4 linked regions of the Saccharomyces cerevisiae S288C genome follow. The protein of the gene in region 1 interacts with the protein of each later gene in a biochemical or structural test. Each region holds a gene or a part of one and is shown on either strand. Other genes may lie near its edges. The genes, in order: PRP45, CEF1, YJU2 and PRP46.

Region 1 (4,430 bases):
TGCTATGTCTTTGGCGCAAATTTTCAATGTTTAACTAATACTTTTGACGATCTTTCTTATAGATGCTGTGGGAAAGACCCTTAAAAATGTCTGTTACCCTGCAATCAATGGTTGAAACAGCAGGAAGACGCATAATAAAGGCATATGTTTGAAGTTTGTTAGCGAATGAACAATGATAAAAGGAGTGATTGGAAGCTGAAGGTTGAGGATTTAGACTAGTTTTATATTACAACATGGTAGATGTGCAAAAGAGAAAAAAGTTGCTAGCCAAAGCTGCTGCCAGCGCTTCTATTCCGGCAATCAAAGGTTCTGTTCCGTTGGACTCGTATGATATAAAAATCATTCAATATAAGAACGCTCTTTACAAGCTGAATGAACTGAATAGGCTACTAAACGTTCTGGTACCGCATTTGAAGAAGAAAAGAGACAATGACGAGTCCTACAAAATTATTCCCCTCGTTAATTTCATCTTATCACTTTGTGAGGGTCCTATATTTAATGTAAGCCCCGTATTGGCTAAGAGGTACCATTTGCTCTGTCGATTCCAGCTGATAAAGCTAAGCGAAGTGCAGCAGAGATTATCAACTAATTTTATTGATGTAGAGGGCTGGATGTTTCCCGAGGAGGTACCCCTAGATCACTATAAATCGTGCATATACAATAATTCTCTACAATGGAAGATTTTAAATTCGCTGTCTTGCATTGCTCAAAATGCTATAAAAATTTATAATGCCAAGTTGAGACAGATTTTATTGGAAAGGGATGCGTACAAAGCTCGGTCACTTCCATTTGACACTTCAATAATTGAAGACTTGTTAAATCCAGTTGAAATGACATTGATTCTAGATTTAGCCGTTTTGATTAATGATCCAGTAAGGGATAAGTCCACCCATTCCTTTTACAAATTGCAATGGCAAGTGATGGAGAAACTGAACTCCTGTGTTCATTCGAAAATCTTCCCCATTCTAAGGACATATTACAACCAATTGCAGAAATTTTCGGAAACAAGACCTACTTCACTGTCAAATTTACAGAAGGATCTACCACATTGGGAATGGACTCTACACAGGATATACACTTTCCACTTGCGGGTTTTTTCTGTCTTGTGTGTTATTATCAGTTTCTCTAGGCAAATTTTCCTACCGAATAAACAACATTTCTTGGACATCAAGACAAGATTATCCAGCGAAAACGTGTACCATTACGATTTGATAATTTGTGAGCTGATGGCTTTGCTCTCTCCAGAATGTGATGATGTCACAGCTTTATTCGAACTGCAGGAGAATTTAAAATTTTGGACTCAAACGGCGCGTACCGATAACAATTCCTCAAGAACTCCCATTTTCCACCTTCAACCTGGTTTAGTTGTGGAATTGTTTAATAATCATATCTGCAAGATTATACCGAAATTGAGGTCCATTATGGGATTATTATCCAATTGGATGGATTGCTGGAAATATATTGAGAAAAATTATAAAACCTTCGATGAAACCAATGACTTGCGGGAGAATTTGAAAGAAAAGCTAGAAAGAGATAAGGCTCTGTATTTAGAGGTTAAAAACGCGAAAAGTAAGCTAAAGAAGAAGCCGTCAATAACAAAGCTGCCAGCCTCTTCTTCTCCATCCCCCTCACCCACATCTTCAGCAAGCCCATCAAGACAGGCCTCTTTAGAGAGCATAAGAACAAGGGCAAGGGCGCATTTAGCCTCAAATTCTTCTAGGTCTCCCTCAGTATCGCCTGTAAGGACCACTTTCAACAATAAAAACGCAGAAACGAAGAAAAGCGTGGTGTCTCCGGAGAAAAGAAAACTGATCAACGGCAGAAGGCCTAGATCCTCATCTTTGCAATCCTATACAAACAAACAACAAACCTCATATTTGAATTCTACAAGACATCCGTCAATAGCTCCACCTTCAAAGCTCAACAATCAAAGGTCCAATTCTTTGCAGTCCTCAACCATGACGTTAAATCAAAAAATCGTCCAAGATACAGTGCGGCATTTGATGAACAAAAGTGCATCTACACCCAATCCTTCTGCATCTTCATCGTTAGCGCCTTCACCAAAAGTATCCAGTATAAACAACACCTCCTCAGGAAAATCATCAAGTACCCTGATTGCCAATAGTAGTGATACTTTGGCTATAGAGACATTAACTCTAGATCCGGAGTCAAACTCCAGTGAATTGTCCATCAAAAGGGTGAGATTTGCTGGTGTACCGCCAATGACAGAGGCAGAAAATCCTAAACCAACAAAGGTGGGTTGGTACAAGAAGCCGGCTGTGCTACATTATCCGCCAATACCTGCTTCGGCAATGATCAAGCCGCTACAGCATAAGTCCAAATATAACACGCTGAGACAAGAAGAAGGGTTTACCTTTCGAAAAAGTCTTCGAGATGGATTAGAGTGGGAAAATGGCGAATCTGGCTCCGAAACTACCATGATGCCGTTTGGGATCGAAATCAAAGAGTCGACCGGGCATAGAATAGCTTCTAAAATCAGAAGCAAATTGAGATAACTCCGCACCTTATAAAAACAACTCTTTATGTCCCTGGAAAAAAAAAAGAATACATATCTAATACTATTCATATCCTTCATTGTTCTTGTCTGATGATTCAAAAGTACTCATACTATTTTTTAATATTTAATCTTTTACCTTAACGTATTATTGTAATTCTTCACGAATTTGATTTTTCCCCAGCTAAAAAGTTGATGAAAGAAGTTCAAATTATGGGGTTATTGACACATGGCAGCTCTGAGCCGAGAGGACGTATCAGCAACCTCAACCAAATATGTTTAGTAACAGACTACCACCTCCAAAACATTCTCAAGGACGAGTTTCGACGGCTTTGAGCTCAGATCGCGTTGAGCCGGCAATATTGACTGACCAAATCGCTAAAAACGTTAAGCTCGATGATTTTATTCCAAAGAGACAGTCTAATTTCGAACTATCGGTTCCTTTGCCAACGAAAGCAGAAATCCAAGAATGTACAGCAAGAACCAAGTCATACATTCAGCGGCTTGTGAATGCGAAACTAGCCAACTCAAATAACAGGGCATCATCAAGGTACGTCACCGAAACACATCAGGCACCCGCGAATCTATTATTGAACAACAGCCACCATATTGAGGTAGTGTCCAAGCAAATGGATCCATTGTTGCCAAGGTTCGTTGGGAAGAAGGCGAGAAAGGTTGTAGCACCCACAGAAAACGACGAAGTCGTGCCTGTTCTCCATATGGATGGCAGCAATGATAGGGGAGAAGCTGATCCAAATGAGTGGAAGATACCTGCAGCTGTGTCAAACTGGAAAAATCCAAATGGTTATACCGTGGCCTTGGAAAGACGTGTAGGTAAAGCTCTTGACAACGAAAATAATACCATCAACGATGGGTTTATGAAGCTCTCCGAAGCGTTAGAAAACGCTGACAAGAAGGCAAGACAAGAGATCAGGTCCAAAATGGAATTGAAGCGGCTTGCTATGGAACAGGAAATGCTTGCTAAAGAATCTAAATTGAAAGAATTGAGCCAACGAGCCAGATACCACAACGGGACTCCGCAGACGGGAGCAATAGTTAAGCCCAAAAAGCAAACGAGCACAGTGGCCAGACTAAAAGAGCTGGCGTACTCTCAAGGAAGAGACGTATCCGAAAAGATAATTCTGGGCGCAGCAAAGCGTTCAGAACAACCGGATCTGCAGTACGATTCAAGATTTTTCACAAGAGGGGCAAATGCCTCCGCCAAAAGGCATGAAGACCAGGTTTATGACAACCCACTGTTCGTCCAACAAGATATTGAAAGCATATACAAGACCAACTACGAAAAGCTGGACGAAGCGGTCAATGTTAAGAGTGAAGGTGCCAGTGGTTCTCACGGCCCCATTCAGTTTACTAAAGCTGAATCCGATGATAAATCGGATAACTATGGCGCCTAGGCCCAGGATGAGCACTAGGAAAACAAAGCATTCTTGTGCTTGAGTTGTATTATAGATAAAAAAATAAAACTACTGCATATACGTGTACATCTATATATTAATATATTCTAATCGTCCTCGTTTTCGTTTTCGTTTTCCCTTCCAATTTTCTTGAAATCATTGATAATAAAGTCATTATCGCTGAGGTGTGATGATTGACTACACTTGATTATGTTCAGAATTTTAGAATTCCTTCTCATAGCAAACTGCTCTATTTTCTTGATGGTCCCACTTACCTTGACGGGGTTCACGATCAGTCCATCGACGTCGCCAATTTTCGACATCAACATCAATGCCATGATAACAAGGTCGCAATCCTCTCGATGGCATCGGATTATCCCCGTAGACGTCTTATTTGAAAAGTATTTCAACTGCAAGAGAGAGTTACATTTTGCAGACCCATAGTCGCCCAGATTCAACGACAGCGAGCGTCGTATCTCTTGGAGTATCGACTTTATGGA
Region 2 (4,900 bases), on another chromosome or scaffold:
CTTTAAAGTCATCGTTTTGATTTTCACCAGTTGCTGTTTTTTGCAAAAAGGATTTTCTATTTCCAATGCTACTGCGATCAGAAAGACTAGATATTGGTGCAAGTCGCAGAGAATTTGATCTAGCAACGTCGATTTTATCCAAGCCAACAATATTCTCCTCATCAGGATCTTTGATTTTATTCGCGTCATCTGAAAAAGTTTTCAATTCATTTAATAAAAATGTGATATTAGTGACACGAGATTTCACTGATTGAGAACCCCGAAAAGAGCCATCTCTTTTCATATTATTTGGAATATTCTTTTCATTCATAGTTTTTTTCAAATCGCTAACTTTTGGTGCGGTGGCTCTCATTGTTTTCCATGATCTTGCGTCCTCAGCAACAAACCTATAGATACTACCTTTTGCATTAGCATCAGAAATTACAGTATCGTTAGCTTCTTCTATATTGTCATCTATGCTGTTGTCGAATTTATTTTGCTTGGCCGCAAAATCGTTGTTATCATACACTGCTTTCCCATTTGAAAAAATAGCATTAGGGACATTCTTGTACTCCAGAGGTGTAGTACGAACTTGAGAGTCCGACAGTAAATCAGAAGTAGAAATTTGATTATCACGAGACAATAAAATCTGCGCCCCCTTCTTGCTGTATTTATTTGATCCAGTATCAGAATAGTATGACAATAAATCTTCCTTGGTAAACAAAGTTCTAGTTTGCATTTTGTACTCAGTTTGTGACTTGTAGTCATTGAGTTTTAAAAAGTTAGCTGCTTGTAAATGGTACGAATAATAGGTATACTCAGGCTCAGAAACGTTCTCTAGAAAATAATTCAAACCGGATAATAGTGCCATTTTTCCATACTTGTCAAAGATCTCTTCCATCATTTCTTTTTGCACACCATGTGAATCCAGTTCACGTAATAATGAGTACAGTTTTGAAAAGAGAATGCTGCTTGGAACCTCAGTTTCAACAATGTTAAATAAACATATAATGTGGTTTTTCATGTAATGCGCCAAGTCGATGAATAATTCCAAACTGATACTTGGCTGCGTAATATGTTCAACGAGGAAATCAATATCTTCCACAACTGCATTCTTTTCAACATCCTTGACGGTGTCACTTTTCAATTTCAATAGTAGTTCATATAACATATCTGAGGTCTGTTCAGCGTAATAAGTTTTATGGTTAAGGTCTGTCATGGTGATACAAGACTGTGCCACAACTTCTTTATTAGTTGCATTTTTCAACTGGAAATTTAAAAGCTTTCTCATTATATCAAGAACACTCAACCCCACTATACTGACATCTGAAACAAGTAATGACGACATCAATTTCAAGGAAACAATTGGATTTACATTTTTATCCTTGTCGCTTAGTTGTCTGACCAAAAGAAGTATAACAATATATCGTAACTGAACAGGTATACCATTGCATACAAACTCTAGCAGTTCCTTATTAGGTGTACTTTGCAGACAGCGCAACAGAGTACGAATAGACAAATTCAATTTGTCTGTCTCAGTTGTGTTAAAATAGGATTGCAATGCTTTTACTGAAAGGTCATGATTATCTTCGGCGGCCTTATCTAACCCAATTGTACGAGTTTGTGTTCGACTTAGCCTTTTTCCTAAATTGCTCTCCAGAGCTGCTTCCAGCGACAAAGTTTTAAATTTCGGATTTCTCTCTTGGAACTTTGAAATAGTATAGGCAACAGACTTGGAAACAAAGTGGTTTAGTTGTGGGTTGCTTGAAACACTATTTGTGTTTGATATATCAATACAGCATTTCAGAAGCATGTCATCATTATGAATTCTTTCAGTAACTATTTTAAAAAAAAGATCAACAAAGTTCTGGTATAACTGGACGAATTCCATGTCACCGTTACACAAGACGTCGTCCAAGTTCTGGCATATACTACTAAATGCCAGTTCTATTAATTCAACAACAGATACATCATTGTTAAAATTGTTGTTGGAAAGAACTTTGTTCATAATGTACAAAAAATCTTTAACAAATACATTCAAATTCTCCTTACAATGCAACACAATTTTGTTCATTAAATCCAATGTAACGGCTATGTTCCCTATGCGCCGATGGTTCAAGTCGGAAGTGGAACGCTTAATCAGGTAAGTGCTAACTTTCTCCAATTTACTACGCCTCGAGTTAACGTAATATAGCAAATATGAAGTTTCCGAAGATTTAGGCTTCTTATCTGTGGTCCTTCCCGTAGGATAACATTGATTGACCAGTTTCTGATGTTTTGGTGTGAACATCATCCGCATAGACAACTGCATCGCAAACCACTTTCAGAACAATTGAAAATGAACGAAAGATGAATAATAGAGCGAATGATCTGGGTTCAATATACAGTCTGCCACTGAATTAATACTACTCCAATAGCGGGGTTGCTCACAATACTTTCAATTTATCCTGGCTGCCTGGCTTTTTCAACAAAACCATTACCTTCCTAGTAGTTCGAACAAAATTTTCTTCCTCTTCCTTTGGCCGGGGTTGAAGTTTAATGAAAAATTAATGCTATGAACTATTATGACAAAAAAGCATATGCGACTCAGGAAGATAGTAAAGAAAAAAAGCAAAACATTTCTAAGAGGACTATACTAGCATTTCAAGATGCCCCCCGTACCAATATACGTGAAAGGCGGTGTATGGACCAATGTGGAGGATCAGATTCTTAAAGCGGCTGTACAAAAATACGGAACTCATCAGTGGAGCAAAGTAGCATCCCTTTTGCAGAAAAAGACTGCCAGGCAGAGTGAATTAAGGTGGAATGAATATTTAAATCCAAAGTTGAATTTTACAGAGTTCTCGAAGGAGGAGGATGCCCAACTTCTAGATCTTGCAAGAGAGCTGCCTAATCAGTGGAGGACCATAGCTGATATGATGGCCAGGCCTGCACAGGTCTGCGTCGAAAGATATAATAGGCTATTAGAAAGTGAAGACAGTGGAGGGGCTGCGTTAAGTACAGGAGTTACTGACTTGAAAGCCGGGGATATTAATCCTAACGCTGAAACTCAAATGGCTAGACCAGATAATGGTGATTTGGAAGATGAGGAAAAGGAAATGCTTGCTGAAGCTAGGGCTCGTCTGTTAAATACCCAAGGTAAGAAGGCTACAAGAAAGATTAGAGAGCGGATGCTCGAAGAATCAAAACGCATTGCTGAACTACAAAAGAGGCGTGAGCTAAAGCAAGCAGGAATTAATGTTGCCATTAAGAAACCGAAAAAAAAATACGGCACCGACATTGATTACAATGAAGATATAGTATATGAACAAGCTCCCATGCCAGGTATATATGACACGTCCACTGAAGACCGCCAGATAAAAAAGAAGTTTGAGCAGTTTGAGAGAAAAGTCAACAGAAAAGGTTTGGATGGTAATAAGGATAAGCCAAGTAAAAAAAATAAGGACAAAAAAAGAAAACACGATGAGAACGAACACGTTGAGAAAGCAGCACTGGGTGAATCTACTACATTGACGGATGAGTATAAAAAACCAAAACTTATACTATCTGCACCAGGAACGAAACAGGGAAAAGTCACCTATAAAAAAAAGCTAGAAAGCAAAAGACAAAAACTAATCGAGGCACAAGCAACTGGCACTGTGTTGACACCAAAAGAACTACTACCCCACGACTCCGGCCAAGAAGATAATGAACGCAGTAATATAAAGAGTGGTAAACAGCTAAAATCACGCATACGAAAATTTTTAGTGCAAATGTTCGCATCTTTGCCTAGTCCCAAGAACGATTTCGAAATTGTATTAAGTGAAGACGAGAAAGAAGAAGATGCAGAGATAGCGGAATACGAGAAAGAATTTGAAAATGAAAGAGCGATGAATGAAGAGGACAACTTCATAGAACCACCATCTCAAAATGATGCGCCACGCGTCTCATTAGTAGCCGTTCCATTAGCTTACTCAACGCTACCCATACCAGAATTCAAAAACAATCCGCAGTCCGCGATTGACAATAAGTACAACTTGCTAGTCGCGAACGCCATAAACAAAGAACCTCACATGGTACCAGAAGATACGGTAGATTTTCTCAAAGAGGTGGAGTCGCGTATGCAGCATATAACCCAAGGGCGCACTTCCATGAAAATACAATTCAAAACAGCAATGCCCCCAACTGAGGTTCTTCTGGAATCGATCCAATCAAAAGTGGAGTCTATTGAACAGTTACAGCGTAAACTACAACATGTGCAACCACTGGAACAACAGAATAACGAGATGTGCAGTACCCTCTGCCATCACAGCCTGCCCGCTTTGATTGAAGGGCAACGCAAGTACTACGCTGATTACTACGCCTACCGACAAGAGATACGATCGCTTGAGGGTCGTAGAAAGCGTCTTCAAGCCATGCTAAATTCTTCTTCTTCCATATAGCATTAGTATAGCATTAATATAACTTTTATGAACTAGGACATAGAGGACTTGTGACAACGCATTACCCGGAGTTAGAACGTTTTCTTGCCAAGTTGGCCACATCGGCAAACCAGCGATGGTAATAAGATGTAGTACTGACAAAACATGGTGGATAGGCCAGAAGAGCGTGCATTGGCTGGCGAAAAGATCGAGGACAATGATTCCAAAATTATATATACATTTGATACTATCTTTATTGTTGTTGCCGCTAATTTTGGCGCAGGATTATTATGCAATACTAGAGATAGACAAAGATGCCACTGAGAAGGAAATCAAATCAGCGTACAGACAATTGTCTAAGAAGTACCATCCGGATAAAAATGCTGGGAGCGAAGAAGCCCATCAAAAATTCATTGAAGTCGGCGAGGCATACGATGTATTGAGCGATCCTGAAAAGAAAAAGATTTATGACCAGTTTGGTGCAGATGCTGTAAAGAATGGCGGTGGCGGTGGCGGTCCAG
Region 3 (3,905 bases), on another chromosome or scaffold:
CACCTTTCGATCTGCCCGGCGATGTAACACCAGCACCCCTTTGATCAAACGTAAATGACTCGTAACCATTGAGTGATAAGTGGTCCATAAGCCGGAATTGAATCTTTGTGTACTCGCCAAACCCATGAATCAGTAAAACTCTACCTCTGACCTCATTGGTGCCATTTTGAACAGGCCAGAACATGTACCCGAACTTAGCACCATCAAAGTTTTCGTATTGAAGTTCAGGTACTGTCGTCTGCACTTTGTATGGATACGGAGCCATGCTTTTCTATTTGTCCTCGGTTTGTGTGGCTTTGGCTTGCTTTAGTCAACAATGGCTTTTCCGATATGTATTCATTTATAAGAAAATTCAATGAAAAAACGGCCAGACACTTCGAAGTCCGAAGGGGCTGTCGCCCCTCGTAAGTAGCGATGGACGCTATAGTGTGGAAGCAACCACAGTAGCACAGCATCACAAGAGATCATGATACCAATCGTACGTTCCTTACTTTTCTAGGTCATTTGAGAGACTTTCCTCGTTTTATAACTATCCCTAACGGATTCGTACGCACAGAGCTTTTCTTCTGTATTTTTCCCTTAGTGGATGTAGGATTAAACAACGGAGTTCTCTTCTCATCGTTGTTATTGCCAGGTTTATTGGTACGCTGCCTGTGATTGTCAAATACCTGATCTACGAGGTTGTCCAGATCATCAGTCGTTACTGCTTTTTCTTGTTGTGCGTGTTTGCTGCGGTTTATCATTTCAGCTCTCTGGCTCATTTCAAGGTTTTTTTTCCTTAAATTTTCAAGTTCCTCATCATCCTCTTGCTCTTGTTGAATTTTGGCTAGTCTTTTTTCCAGCAAATCCATTTTGTCATCTGCTTGCTCCTTTATACCCATCTTCTCGTTCTGCTCCATTTCCTTCTCTCTCACTAAGCGTTGCAGTGTCTCGTCTATGCTTTCGACAGCTGTTTTAGCGTTCAGGTCATCATTTGGTTTCTGAGGGACATAGTTTCTTACGCCCCCCACTTCCATTACATAATCTGAATTACCGGGGTCTGTTCTAAATGCAATGGAATTGGCACAACGTGGACATGAAATGGTTAGTCTATATATCTTAATGGAGTCCAGGTACTTCTCCTTCAGTAGCTCTTTCTTACCATTGAATTTTCTGCTTTTGGGAATATATTCGTTACATTCCAAACACCTCATACTAAATGGGGTCATTAATCTAATCGATGCGTGGCTCTTATTCATGGTTTTCAGTTTTTTAGCCATTTTCCTGGATAGCTTTTCAGCTTCCAGTGGGTTGTAATCCGGTGGATAGTACTTGTTAATAGCTTTTCTTTCAGACATTCTTGTATTCTCCTATCAGCCTGGAAACGGTTAATTTGGTTTGACTTATTAGTTCGTTCTACTGAGGTCACCGTAGTGATTTCTTGCTTTTTTTCGAATATGTACAATAAATAACAACTCTATGCGTATTAGCAGTCAGTGGAACAAACTTGAGATAGCTACTCTTATCTCCTTTTCTGTATATCCATCTTTCTACATGCAGCAGAGAAACCGCCGGCGGGACATTCACCTACTTTTCTACAAGTTTAAATTTTTCAAGCGAATCGGGGAATGTGAGAGCTGCATGCAAGAAAAGGAATGTAGGTAGGAGGACAATGTAAGAGAATATTATGGGCCATTTCATATTACATTACGCTATATGTAAGTGATCATTATGTAGAAAGCTATATTGAAGGAAATAAAACATGCAGGTTTTGTTCTCGTACTTACAACAAGTAAGCAGCTGCGACCGCTAGAGCACCAGCACCCATGCCGACGGCAGCCTTGGCACCTGCATTTTCTGTTTGTTCGTAAACTGTGTTTGGAGCTTGGATTTGTCCATCAGTAATTTGAGAGATAACTGAAGCAGTTGGGGAGCTAGCAGAGGAAGTTTCCACAGTAGTAGAGGTCTCGACAGATTCTATACTCGAACTATGCTTTGTAGAAGATGATGCGGAAGCAGACGAAGCAGAAGCAGATGAAGAGGAACTAGAGTCGCTTGGAGAAAAATCTGCTGCAACAGATCCGCTCTTACTAGTTGGTCTAATCGCAACACCGGTAGCGTCGTCGGATTGCTTAGAAGAGAAAATGTAAGACGACCCGTCCTTGATAGCGTAGAAACCAGAAGAGCTCTTGTAGTTTAGATGGCCATCTTTAATAGAAAAACCAGTGGCAGCATCGCTCTCAGAACCTTCTTTGAATGAGCCATCCTCATTGACAACAGCATACTTATCGTCGTCAAATTTCAGTTTACCGTCATCGGTAATAGTTGCCTCAAATGAGCCACTACCGCTGCCAAGTTTCAAAGTGCCGTTATCACTGTAAACACTCAAGTATTGTAAATCCGAGCCGGAACGGATACTCACCAGGCCGAATTCTTCGGAATCGGCAATGACCATCTTAGCCAAGGCGAATAAAGCGACAGACAAAGCAGTGGAGAATTTCATTATTGTTTTTTGAGACTTTCGTAGTATTTATTAGTTTGTTACGGGATATTTTACTTCAGACAGAAAAAAAATTCAAGGAAGATAGCGAAAGAAAGAAACGTTAAGATCGTCCTTTAAATAATTGAGATTTTGTTTGTTTGCTTTTTTTTTTTCTGCACCACAAATTATCAAAATTAAAAGGTGAAAAAACACTACATTGAACGTGAACCACAGAGCTTATTGTTTGTTGTTTTTTTTGTTTTCTTTTGTGGCACCTTCGAGATGGCTCTCCTGGAGTAAGTTACCGTTGTGGGACAACCCGCACGCACAGACGTAAGCGGACCCGTATTCCAATCGGGCCGAAGGGCCCTTTTCGTTCAGGGAGCTGTGGCTAACGCTATTTTTAGTTATGACGTACGGTGCGGCACCATCTATAACGCGAAGAAGTACTTTTTTTAGCTCTCTTTTTTTGTTTTCGCGGGAGGGGTTTGTTTATTATGATATTTTAACGGGATAGAAGGTCGAGCACACAATGTTTGCCGTCAAGAGGGGTATCTGCTTCTATATTCGTAACTTTCCAGATGTCCGATTTTTTTTTTCATTATTACCTCGAGCTACGATTCGGTACACATACATTCTTATTTTGAAACTTGTTCACCATATCTTTGCAAAAATTAATGAGATTCCAATGTTATGTATGGGTGAAGTATAAGACGTGGTTGCAGCATCCCTTAGTATTTGTCTAGTGGGGTTCTTCACTACTTACTCTTGAAGCATAAAAAAGAAAACAAGGCTAGCTCTAAAGCATCGTAGATGAATCTCATTAAGAAAATTCAGCATGTGCGAAGGAAGGTACAGTTTTAAAGTCGCATCAATGCCCATAATAAAGGGATTAATGGCACTGTGCTAAAATGTGCCAGGTCATGAAAATTTCATAGCGCATTGGCAAGCGACTTTAGCGCGCGCCAACGTGATATTTCTTGTAAGTTCAAATCCATCCGAGGGGCAATTGTAGTGAGGACAAAAGTTCATTGAGTTCTAGATTATTATTTTGTCACACGTCTCCCTTGAATTTGTAAAATATTTTATAAGTGGAAGTAAAGTATAGAAAATGGCAGAAAAAAAAGATCCCACCGTAGCACACCAATATCTTTCCCACTTTCTTTTGAACAGGTAACAGATAACGAAGATGGTAAAAAGATAAAGGGAAGAACGGTCAGCACTTTCGCCTATGTTTTTCACGCCTTGACTCTTTAATCGCAGCTAAGGGCGAAATTCTTTATGCACACTGGTCTGTTGAAACAAGCATGCATGTTTTTTTCACCTTAGGGGCGCAGGAAACATTGTGCATAGCCAAGATCTCAGCAAACTCGAAGAAACCCAGTCTCTAATACATTCATTTCGAGTTCAAATTTTTGACTCATTCGAAGAGAAATCACAGGAA
Region 4 (4,573 bases), on another chromosome or scaffold:
TTGCCAGAAAAGAGACTATTGACTCCAGACGATATGAAACTATGGGAAGAATCCCCAACAAGAGCTCATTTCACTAAATTTATTATAGATTTGGCTGAATCTGTCAAAGGACATGAGAATTCCCAGTACAAAGAACCAATATCGGAGTCAATAAACAGTATGATGAACTTGCTTTCGCAAATAAAAGATATCACTCAGAAGCACCCAGTAATAAAGGATGCAGATAGCTCGAGATTTGGTAAGGTTGAGTTTAGGGACTTTTATGACGAAGTTTCACGGAATTCCAGGAAGATCTTACGTTCCGAATTTCCCTCTCTCACAGATGAGCAGTTGGAACAATTATCGATTTATCTAGATGAATCATGGGGAAATAAAAGAAGAATTGATTATGGTTCAGGTCATGAATTAAATTTCATGTGTTTACTTTATGGACTCTATAGTTATGGAATATTCAATCTTTCAAACGATTCAACTAACCTCGTGCTGAAAGTTTTTATAGAATACCTTAAAATAATGAGGATACTAGAAACTAAATATTGGCTTGAGCCTGCGGGCTCTCATGGTGTTTGGGGATTAGATGATTATCATTTCCTTCCATTTCTATTTGGTGCCTTCCAATTAACCACCCACAAGCACTTAAAGCCGATATCAATTCACAATAATGAGCTCGTAGAAATGTTCGCTCATCGGTACTTATATTTTGGTTGTATCGCTTTTATTAATAAGGTCAAGTCATCCGCCTCCTTGAGATGGCATTCTCCTATGCTAGATGACATCAGCGGTGTAAAGACTTGGTCAAAAGTTGCTGAAGGGATGATAAAAATGTATAAAGCCGAAGTCCTTAGTAAATTGCCCATCATGCAACATTTTTACTTTAGCGAGTTTTTGCCTTGTCCGGATGGTGTATCTCCACCAAGAGGCCACATACATGATGGGACTGATAAGGATGATGAGTGCAATTTTGAAGGACATGTTCATACTACTTGGGGAGACTGCTGTGGTATAAAGTTACCGAGCGCTATTGCGGCTACTGAGATGAATAAAAAACATCATAAACCAATACCTTTTGATTAGGAAAAGTCCATTTATAGATGCTATCTCATTGTATATACACGTATACAGGGTACGTACTTTTTCCATCTACTCCCACTAAAATCTTTTGGCGCTTAAGTTGGGGTTCCACGCTAGCCCCGGTTCTGACTCTTTTGTAGCCGTCTCATCCTGTTTCCAAATCTTTATGCTTTTGTCTGCTTCTCCAGTGATTAATCTTAAACCTGTTTTATCGAAAGTGCTACAAAGAACACTCCGTTCACCTTCCAGAGAGCCTACCATTTCTCTCGTGGCCAACGATTGGTATTTGTGACCAGACTTATAATCATAAAAGGAAAGCACACCATTGTCACCGCCAGCGAATAATACATCATCTTGATTAATGCTTAAAGTATTGATTATGCCTGTCTTTTCAGACTCAAAATTGGTGAGTAAAGACCCCTCTGCTAATCCCCATGATCTGATGTCATCAGTACACGCAGAAGCCACCGAAAACTCCTTAGGATGCAACGCTGTAGCTCTCACAGACCTCTTATGATGTGTTAGAACTTTCATTGTTTTCCCAGCAACTACATCCCATAACCTTACCGTAGCATCAGTCGATGAACTCACCACTTGAGGGTCTACTGGAGTACACTGTACTTGATTGATTGGACCCTTATGCCCAACTAGTGTAATAACAGGTATTCTGGTTCTCATATCCCAGAGTTTGATAACGCTATCTCGGCCTGCGGTAGCTATGAGATCCAGCGTTGGATGTATGCTCACCGTACGAACCCCCGATAAATGTCCATAGTAATCTCTAATAATTTGGTTTTTCTCTAGGTCCCAGCATTTGACCGTCTTATCTTCACTAACAGAAAATAAATAAGGATGTCGATCTGACACAGCAACGTCTCTCACTGTCATTACATGCCCTGCTAAGGTAGTTTTTAATTTTCCTGTTGCAAGATCCCAAACTTTCATTGTCGTATCATTACTTCCGGTGATGAACCATTCGTTGTCAACAGGATCGATTGCAACGCATCGTACCCATCCAAGATGGCCATTGATAACGCGTGAAAGTTTCCAGGGTGCATGCCATTCCGGCCTTTGTGACAGAAGTTTTTCGTATCGATTAACTATAAGTTCTTCAGCAACCTCTGGTTGGAAAATTTTATTCACAAAAGCAGATGCATGCGTATCGTGATCTTTCTTGCTAATCACTGCTTGTGATGCTTCTGAAAAATCTGTAGGAACATGCTGCAGAGTAACTTTCTTGCCTTCACCACTAAAAGAAGAACTTTCCTTCCTATAAGTATCATATCGCATTAGCAATGATTTCTGACCTTCCATTTCGCTTTGTAGGTGGGGCGGCAGAGTGGCCATATATGAAAATTGGTTATTCCAGCGTATTCTGGAATAAAATTTGTCTACATCTCCTAAATTTTCGACTTTGTGATCATTTCCGTCCATTCTCACTAATCTCCATGTAACACAGTGTCTGCATCCTCGGAAATGGTTTTAAGATGCAATGAAGTGGGTAATAATTACTGTTAGCTTCACATCTTGAATAATCTTTTATTGCCAAAATTGTAGCTTTTCCGTATTAGATGATGAAGAATTTTGAGCACCCTTACTTAATAAAAGAGTTGTTGAACTCGAAATAGGAATACGAGATGAGGAGTAATTCTCTGAAAGTAGATAGCTCCTCTTGTCACATTGAATGCTACTTTATTGTGACTATAGGTGATTTAAGCGAACGAATGTTCTTAGGTCATCGTGGATTTGTGTGGTGATTTTCGGCTTATCTTAACAATGTTGACCGCGTGGACCCTCCCAATCTTGACAACAGAACACTTATCAATAACGGTATACAATAAATATCTTGTATGAATTAAATAAAGTAACGTTTTTTCCCTCATATCATTCCGAATCATTACGAAAATTCCAATACCTGTATTTTGAAGTCAACAAGAGTTTCGTTATCCGAATACTATTTTTTGTATCAATAAATTTTGTTTCGTTTTTCATTAATAACTAGTCACTGTGTAGTGGAAGCAAGTTCTCCTTATCCGTTGCCAAGAGACAATAAAAGACCCACATATAGGTGAATATACTGCTCACCATGGTTAATCCTGTTGGATCCTCGAAATTGGAACAAAACAATATAAAAAGCATTATAGGATCATCGTACAATCGACTATACAGCCAATTTACTTCTGATGAGTTGACAGAAGTGGGAAACTACAAGATTTTAAAACAAATAGGTGAAGGAAGTTTTGGAAAAGTATATTTAGCGCTCCATAGACCAACACATCGTAAAGTCTGCCTAAAGACGAGTGATAAGAATGATCCCAATATCGTTAGAGAGGTATTTTACCATAGACAGTTCGATTTTCCTTATATTACAAAGCTTTATGAAGTGATAGTGACAGAATCAAAAGTGTGGATGGCATTAGAATATTGCCCAGGGAAGGAATTATATGACCACTTACTTTCTCTGCGTAGAATATCGTTATTGGAATGCGGAGAGTTGTTTGCACAAATTTCAGGTGCTGTTTACTATGCACACTCAATGCATTGTGTTCATAGAGATTTGAAGTTAGAGAATATTTTATTAGACAAAAATGGAAATGCAAAATTGACGGATTTTGGTTTTACGAGAGAATGTATGACAAAGACGACATTAGAAACGGTTTGCGGTACCACAGTTTATATGGCACCTGAATTGATAGAAAGAAGGACTTATGATGGATTCAAGATTGATATATGGTCATTGGGAGTGATACTATACACATTAATTACGGGATATTTGCCATTTGATGATGACGATGAGGCTAAAACGAAATGGAAAATCGTCAATGAAGAACCGAAATACGATGCTAAAGTTATTCCGGACGATGCTAGGGATTTGATCTCACGATTATTGGCTAAAAATCCGGGAGAGCGCCCATCGTTGTCACAAGTTTTACGCCACCCTTTTTTACAGCCTTACGGTTCAGTGGTTTTAGATCAGACTCAGAAAATTTTGTGCAGACAGCGCAGTGGAGGGACTCAGTTTAAAAGTAAATTAGAAAGGCGATTGCTGAAGCGTCTTAAACAATCAGGGGTTGATACGCAAGCAATAAAACAATCAATTTTGAAAAAAAAGTGCGATTCACTCTCGGGTCTATGGTTATTGTTGTTAGCCCAAGGGAAAAAGCAAGAAAATTGCAAATATCCAAAAAGAAGCAGGTCCGTTTTATCAGTCAAAAAAGTTATTGAAAGTGCTACGCATAACGACACTAATGGCATTAGCGAAGATGTTTTGAAACCCTCACTTGAACTTTCTAGAGCTGCTTCATTGAGTAAAATGCTCAATAAAGGCTCAGATTTTGTAACATCGATGACTCCGGTTAGCAGAAAGAAGTCTAAAGATTCAGCAAAAGTTCTGAATCCTACTCTCTCTAAAATATCCTCACAAAGGGCTTATAGTCACTCTATTGCAGGTTCTCCTCGCAAGTCCAATAATTTCTTACAAAAAGTTTCTAGTTTTTTCAAG

What was found.
Region 2: the proteins of PRP45 (region 1) and CEF1 form a complex in vitro, tested with the Saccharomyces cerevisiae proteins (one study listed by BioGRID).
Region 3: the proteins of PRP45 (region 1) and YJU2 form a complex in vitro, tested with the Saccharomyces cerevisiae proteins (one study listed by BioGRID).
Region 4: the proteins of PRP45 (region 1) and PRP46 form a complex in vitro, tested with the Saccharomyces cerevisiae proteins (one study listed by BioGRID).

Annotation. Positions count from the first base shown.
Region 1 is NC_001133.9:82,835-87,264, reverse strand, and holds PRP45 (mRNA splicing protein PRP45), read left to right. Parts: upstream 1-2,790; coding exon 2,791-3,930; downstream 3,931-4,430. Other genes in the region: protein phosphatase regulator GIP4, read left to right, coding at 234-2,516; RNA-binding protein POP5, read right to left, coding at 4,038-4,430. UniProt on the Saccharomyces cerevisiae protein: Involved in pre-mRNA splicing. Associated with the spliceosome throughout the splicing reactions, until after the second catalytic step.
Region 2 is NC_001145.3:690,754-695,653, forward strand, and holds CEF1 (Cef1p), read left to right. Parts: upstream 1-2,627; coding exon 2,628-4,400; downstream 4,401-4,900. Other genes in the region: EFR3 (Efr3p), read right to left, coding at 1-2,290; SCJ1 (Scj1p), read left to right, coding at 4,597-4,900. UniProt on the Saccharomyces cerevisiae protein: Involved in pre-mRNA splicing and cell cycle control.
Region 3 is NC_001143.9:259,709-263,613, reverse strand, and holds YJU2 (mRNA splicing protein YJU2), read right to left. Parts: upstream 1,338-3,905; coding exon 501-1,337; downstream 1-500. Other genes in the region: YJU3 (acylglycerol lipase), read right to left, coding at 1-265; CWP1 (Cwp1p), read right to left, coding at 1,763-2,482. UniProt on the Saccharomyces cerevisiae protein: Part of the spliceosome which catalyzes two sequential transesterification reactions, first the excision of the non-coding intron from pre-mRNA and then the ligation of the coding exons to form the mature mRNA.
Region 4 is NC_001148.4:265,031-269,603, forward strand, and holds PRP46 (mRNA splicing protein PRP46), read right to left. Parts: upstream 2,506-4,573; coding exon 1,150-2,505; downstream 1-1,149. Other genes in the region: peptidylprolyl isomerase RRD2, read left to right, coding at 1-1,074; YPL150W (non-specific serine/threonine protein kinase), read left to right, coding at 3,158-4,573. UniProt on the Saccharomyces cerevisiae protein: Involved in pre-mRNA splicing. May also be required for cell cycle progression at G2/M.